Linked DNA regions of Ovis aries. The protein of the gene in region 1 interacts with the protein of each later gene in a biochemical or structural test. Links are inferred from orthologs where the notes say so. Each region holds a gene or a part of one and is shown in the gene's direction. Other genes may lie near its edges.

Region 1 (2,565 bases):
TTACACTAAAAGATGATAATATTTATACATGAAAATTTATCACCTCCTAAAAAGCTGAAAAAGCATGGAAACTGTTGATAATACTGTAATTAAAAAAACACAAAACAAAAACGTGGACTGGTCCTGCCGAGATGTGTTGAGATTGGGCTCAAATGCCCCAAAGACGGGCTTGAGAACAAACCGAAGCCCAGTAAAAGCGCCGCACTGACTGGCAGATTCCACGCGAACCACTTGCCTCCCACGTGTCTTTCAGGAAACGCACAGAACACGAGGGATAAAAGGAAGCCAAAGAGGGCCAGGGGAAAGGTAAAAACCGTGGCTACGGCTTCCCTGGGAGACTGAGGGCTCCCGAAGGCTGCGGCAGGCTGGAGGGACCTCGCGGAGCATCAGGCAGGTATCGGGGTCTGCGAACAGGCCTGGAAGGAGCACGGGGAAGGCGTTCGTTGGGGGAGCGGGCGGTCCGTGAGCCCCACCCCTTGGAGCTCCGTAGAGGATCAGCTCCCCTGGATCGAGTTGGGAGTGGAGGAAGTGAGAGCGCAGAAGAAGGAACGCATAGAGGAAGGAATCGCTAGAGGAGCGACAGACAGGTGGGAGCTAGTCAGAGTCCCAGGTTCGCGGGGGTGCGGGTTGGCCGCACCCGCGAGACCTCCGGGCCGCCGTAGCCCCGCCCCCAGCGCGTGGCGCCCCGACGCTTGGCGCGCGGGCCGCTCTCCTTACAGAGGTCGCTCTTGCCCGAACGGTTGGACTCCCTCTGTTGCGCCTGCGTAGTCGGGAGGGGAAGTGAGGCGGTTTCCTCGGCGCCTTTTCCGGCGGCGGCAGCGGCAGAACTGGGAGGAGGCTGTGGAGGCCGGAGGGAGCCCGCGCGCGGGGCGGCGGCTGGAGGTAACCTCCTGGGCTGAGCTGACGAGGCGGGCCCCCTCGGCTTCCACTCTCCGCTGGGGCTCCCGCAGTAACTCCTTTTTCCCTCTCTGTGTCTCCGCAGGCAGCGCACCGAGTTCCCGCGAGGATCTATGACCTGACCGGGCGCCAGAGCCGCGCTGCCTCTCGGGTGGCCTGGGTCGGTGGTGAGCGCGGTGCTCGCGGACCGGGGACCGGGCCGAAGGGCCGCAGTCTTCCAGGAGAAGGCGGAGGAGCGGGAACCGCGGCGGCGCTCGCGCGGCGCCTGCGGGGGGAAGGGCAGTTCCGGGCCGGGCCGCGCCTCAGCAGGGCGGCGGCTCTCCCGGCGCAGACTCAGCGCCCGGCGGCCGCGGCGCCTGGAGGAATCAAGTTGTGTGGTGGGTGATGCCCGAGTGAGCGGCGGGCCCGGGCCTCTGCCCAGAGGAGGCGACTCCCACGCAGGCCGCACGGGCGCCCTCGCGACTGGGAGGCTCCGTTTCTGTTTCGCGGCTGCGGCGGCGTTGTTGGCGGAGGGGACCCGGGACACCTGAATGCCCCCGGCCCCGGCTCTTCCGACGCGATGGGGAAGGTGCTATCTAAGATCTTCGGGAACAAGGAAATGCGGATCCTCATGTTGGGCCTGGACGCGGCCGGCAAGACAACCATCCTGTACAAGTTGAAGCTGGGCCAGTCGGTGACCACCATCCCCACTGTGGGTTTCAACGTGGAGACGGTGACTTACAAAAACGTCAAGTTCAACGTATGGGATGTGGGCGGCCAGGACAAGATCCGGCCGCTCTGGCGGCATTACTACACCGGGACCCAGGGTCTGATCTTCGTAGTGGACTGCGCCGACCGCGACCGCATCGACGAGGCCCGCCAGGAGCTGCACCGCATTATCAATGACCGGGAGATGAGGGACGCCATAATCCTCATCTTCGCCAACAAGCAGGACCTCCCCGATGCCATGAAACCCCACGAGATCCAGGAGAAACTGGGCCTGACCCGGATTCGGGACAGGAACTGGTATGTGCAGCCCTCCTGTGCCACCTCGGGGGACGGACTCTATGAGGGGCTCACATGGTTAACCTCTAACTACAAATCCTAATGAGCATTCTCCACCCATCCCCCGGAAAGGAGAGAAATCAAAAACCCATTCATAGGATTATCGCCACCATCACCTCTTTCAATTGCCACTTTCTCTTCTTTTGAATTTGAACTCTGGAGTTACAGTTCTGCGGTTTGGGGGAGGGGGTTAGGGATTTTCTTTCTTTTTTTGCTTTGCGTTAGGATGCTCTGATCTGACTTTTTGACATGAACACAAAGTGCTAGATGCTCTTGTTGACTTCCAGCAAATGGGATGGGGGAAATATAGCAGTTCTTGGTAAATTCCTTTATAATAATGGTTTGATTTTTTTATCTCGAGAGAATCTTCTTTTCCAATGTATGCTTTTTTCCTTTTTGCCCAGTTTCCTTATCACTTGCTGTAGATGGCTTATTTTGCATTCATGCAGACTATGTTGCAAGTCTGTTTCATCTAGTAAACTGAAAATTATTGCTTAATCAAACTGCTGTTTGTCTTTTATATTTAAGGCCTTTTCGCCCCCTCTTATGAGTTCTGACTTTAAGTAAATTCAAATGTGACCTTTTATATCTAAGACCAGTATAGTAAACTTAGCCCACAGTGGC
Region 2 (4,233 bases), on another chromosome or scaffold:
CAAAAACATTGTCAGCTGTGCTGAAGTCAAGCAGAAGACAGCAACAGATCACAGATCAGTACTGGGCAGGAGCCTGGATTTTATAGGCAGATGCTTCATTTCACGGGTGTGAGACAGGTCCAGGGGGCTGAGGTATTTGCCCAGATCACAGAGCTAATAGGAAGCAGATGTGGAAAGAAAACCTAGAGTTTCCTCATTCATTTACTCCTTTTCCATGAGAGGAAAGGGACTTTCCTTTGTTGTCTACCGGGAGGCATGTTTTGGAACGGTCTGTAAGGAAACAGACTGCTGAGAAGGGTCACAACTCCCCCTGATGGAGATATTCCCTGACATTTCAGGGGCATTGCCAGGACCTTGGGCTGAGCTCTTCTCCCGCAGCACCCCCAGTACAGCACATTGTGCTAGGGGGTCCAGGGTCATGCCCCCCAGGAGGGTCCTGGACCATCCCTGTGTGATCCTTCCAAATGACACACTTATAATTTTTATGTGTAGCACCAAATCAAGAAAGAGCATATCCATCCAGGAACAAGTAAAAAAGCAGCATTTTCGTTTATTTTTCTGAATTAAAAATTGGTGATGTCCCCACCTCCAGGTGCAGAACTACTGCCCAGGCTCCTCAAAGGGCAGCTCAGTCTAACCAGTGGGTGGGGATTGGTCGGTCAGCCCAGTGCAGGCAAATAAAACATGTAAGGCACAGCCTAGAAACGTATGAATCCAACAGTCGCAGGAATCAAGGTCACCAAAATCCTGACATGCTGTGAGGCTGAGGTGCCTCTCTTTGAAATTTGATCGGGGTACATTCAGAGGACAAAGAAAAGGAAGTATATAAAGGCAATGAACTCATGACATTCACGGTGCTAAGGTTCAGACTGCAGAAATAATGAACTCAAAATATTCTGGTATTCGGCCAAGGACTAGCAGGACCTGTGAAACTAACGTCAGCGAGGACCACCCTGCCCTTGAGTGGCCGGACACGACCTTGGTACCTCTGTGGGCGGCTGGGCTCTGGTCTGTTTCCCAGGCCTGCGCCACCCTTAGGAAATCCGAAACCTGCTGGGCCCCCGGAGGCGGCCGAGGCGGGGCCTCGGGTTGGGGCGTGGTCAGAGGCGGGGCCTCGGCGCCCGGGGCCAGCCAGAGGGGCGGGGCCTCGGCGGGCGCGCGTACGCAGTCCTGGGCAGAGTAGAGGACGCGGCCCCAGGGGTGCGCGCGCGGGCGACGGGGGCGGGGCCGCAGGCCCGGGGGCGGGGTCTGGGCGGGCGCGCGTGCGCAGGCGCGGGTCGGGAGGCGGCCGCGTGCTGGGCTCTGTGTGTGTGTGTGTGCGCGCGCGCGCAGGCCGCGGGCGGGGCGCCCCGCGGGGGACGAGGGGCGGGCGGCGGGCGGCGGGCTTGGGGCCGGGGGCGGGGCTCTGAGACTCGCCGGGCGAACGGGGCCGGGAGCTGCGGGACCTGGGGCGAGCGGCGAGCCCAGGCGCGGAGCCTGGCGCCGGCACCATGGACGAAGACGACAGCTACGGTCAGTACGGCCCTCGGTCCGGCCGGCGGACGCCCCCTCCCTTCCTCCCTTCACCGGCCCGGCGCCTTGGCCGCGCCTCAGGCGACTCACGTTTCCCGGGGACTGTGGTGCCGGACGCGAGCCGGGCGGGGCGGGGGCCTCCTCAGGGCAGGGGGCACCGGGGGCCCCGAGTGTTAAAGGCTGAGGGGTGATGAGGGGCCGACGTCGGGGTGCACGGGTCTCGGGGGCCGGCGCTGGGGGTCGCCGGGCTCCAGTCTCTGGGGCCGCAGTCGTAGGACCGGGGTCTCGGGGCCTGAGTCTCCGAGGCGGAAGTCCTCCAGGGTGAGGGTCTGTCTCGAGGCCGGGGTCTAGGGCGGGGTTCAGAGGAGGGTCTCGGGGTCCGGGTCTCGGGCGGGGGTCTCGGGCCGCTGTCCCGCGCAGGCCCAGCCTCCCCCGCGAACGCTCAAGTTCCCCCGGCCGTTCTCCGTAGTTTCCGGCCCCTTCGGTGCTGGCAAGTTATGTACCCTGGTCCATGTCTTTGTTCAGAAACAAAAATGAGAAAACACAGGCAGCGAACCCCGAGTGGACAGGCTGCCACCTGACGGTGCCGTCGGGGCCGGGATCTCCTGCCGCCGGCCACCCCAGGGTCCGAGGCTGACCGCCTCTCCGCGGAAACGGGGCTGCTGTTCCCCCAGCGCCTGCGGGGCGAGCCCGAGGGGCGCCGAGAAACCCAACTTTGCCTTCTCATCTGTGCCCAGAGACGCGGCACAGCCCTCACGCCACACCGACAGCGAACGCTTGACAAAACTACCCGTTTCCAAAGCCTCCTTCTGCTGACCTCACCTGGGAACTGTTGGCCATCCGCAGGGCATTCGTCTGTCAAATGGCTTCAGATTGCCAGGCTGGCAGAAGGCTATGTGGAATGCTTTCGTTAATTTATTTAACGTTTTATTCCCAAGAGATGAAAGAATGGCAGATAGAACAAGTGGTGAAGTTTTGTGGTTTGGTAAGCAGAGTACAGACAGCAGTTTGAAATGCTTGTGTGGCTTAGTGGAAGCGAATCCGCTTTCTTGACTAAGTGACATAGGCGACGTTTGTTTCTTAAGCTCTGAGGGAGCAAGCTTTGTTGTGGGGTATGTTAAAATGTGAAAGGTGAAGCACCTTGTTACTTTTCTGTTTGTTTACGAGTAAGTCATTGAGGAACCACTGACCGCAATAGGTGGGTTTATGACCCACAGTGGCAGACAGGGGAAAGGCCAGAGCACGTGGGATCGGTGTCCATCAGATGTCCCCTGGTTACCTTCCAAGTAAAAGCAGTGTGTGCTTTTCCTCTGTGATTGAAAAAAGAGAAAACACCCACGATTGATCCCAAAGGACTTTTCAGCCCCACTTAGGTGTCTGTTTCTGCCCACCCAGGAGAAGCCTTCTCCAGCTTTGCGTGCTCCTGTACCATCTCTTGCTGTTTAATCCAGGCTTTCTTCATGCCCTCTCCTGGTGGTCTTACCCACCGCTCGAGGCAGGAAGCTGTTGGTCTGGTTGCTTTGAACACAATGACTGCTTTGCCACCAGGCATGGCATGAATTCGTGCTCAGAAAGGGTGAATGGAAGCAGGGTGTATTTGTTTCCTGTGGCGGCTGTAACAGATTGGCACAAACAACATAAACTTGTTATCTTACAGTTCTGGAGGTCAGAAGTCCAAATTTGGTCTCACTAAGCTAAAATCAAGGTGTTTACTGGGCTGTGTTCCTTTCTGGAGGTCCTAACAGGAACATCTGTTTCCTTGCCTCTTCCAGCTTCTAGAGACTGCCCCCGTTCCTTGGCTGCTGGCTGCCTTCCACCTTCAGAGTCAGCAGGTAGCATCTTCTCAGTTCTGTCTGGCTTCTGCCTCTTCTAGTTAGGGCTCTGTGACGCCATTGGACCCACCTGATAAGGATAAGGATCAGCAGCCTTAGTTCTCCAATGGTAACCCCCTTTTTGCCACGTAGGGGCGGCGTGTTTCCAGGTTCTGGGATTAGGACAGGGCTATCTCTGGGGCCCATTATTCTGCTGACCACACATAAAGATGAGGAAGAAGTTGTTCTTTTCTTTCTGTTTGTACAATTAAAAAAAAAACATATTCTTCGTATATTGGAGGAAGCAGAAAGGTTGATTTAAAGATTTCCCCCACTCATTGGGTTTACCACACAAAAAGTACCTAATGGTTCAAGATGATCATAACAAGAAAAAGGTTCCTAGTTCTTTTTAAGGTTTGCCTCAGTCTCCAGAACTTTCCATTTCTCTCCTAGGTTTTACAGAGAATTTACCTCAAAAGATAAGACAACTATTCACATTCCACCTTTCAAACTAAAGTGGGTGCTGTGGACTCAAACAGTGCATAGAATGCCAGGTCCAGGGGGTTCCCTCGGAACCTCCATTGGTGGTTCATGAGTCAGCCTAGGTCACTACCATGATTTTTTAACATTGTATCTTTGGGGACAGGGTTTATGATTTCCATGCTATCACCTTGCTAGATAAAACCTTTGAAGCATAACTCATTTATAATAAGCTAAAGAAAGAGAATGTGTCTTAGAGTTTCTCTGTTCAACGAAAGAGAATTTTGAAAACTCACCAGAAGGCTTTTCCTAACTGCATACTCTTTGATGTTCTGTGCTGACCCAGAAACCACACCACTGAGTTCAGCAGCCCTTTCTCTTGTTCACTCCCTGTGATCCTGAGTTGTTTATTTGGTCTAGTTGTAATGCA

What was found. The genes of interacting proteins can lie anywhere in the genome.
Region 2: the proteins of ARF6 (region 1) and CYTH1 form a complex in vitro, tested with the Homo sapiens proteins (2 studies listed by BioGRID and IntAct, with this or other methods). The link is inferred for Ovis aries from reciprocal best matches to the Homo sapiens genes ARF6 and CYTH1.

Annotation. Positions count from the first base shown.
Region 1 is NC_056060.1:41,107,231-41,109,795, forward strand, and holds ARF6 (ADP-ribosylation factor 6), read left to right. Parts: upstream 1-1,456; coding exon 1,457-1,984; downstream 1,985-2,565. UniProt on the Homo sapiens protein: GTP-binding protein involved in protein trafficking that regulates endocytic recycling and cytoskeleton remodeling. GTP-bound form plays an important role in the transport of multiple palmitoylated proteins form the Golgi to the plasma membrane.
Region 2 is NC_056064.1:52,903,776-52,908,008, forward strand, and holds the start of CYTH1 (cytohesin-1), read left to right. Parts: upstream 1-1,409; 5' UTR 1,410-1,490; coding exon 1,491-1,512; intron 1,513-4,233. UniProt on the Homo sapiens protein: Promotes guanine-nucleotide exchange on ARF1, ARF5 and ARF6. Promotes the activation of ARF factors through replacement of GDP with GTP.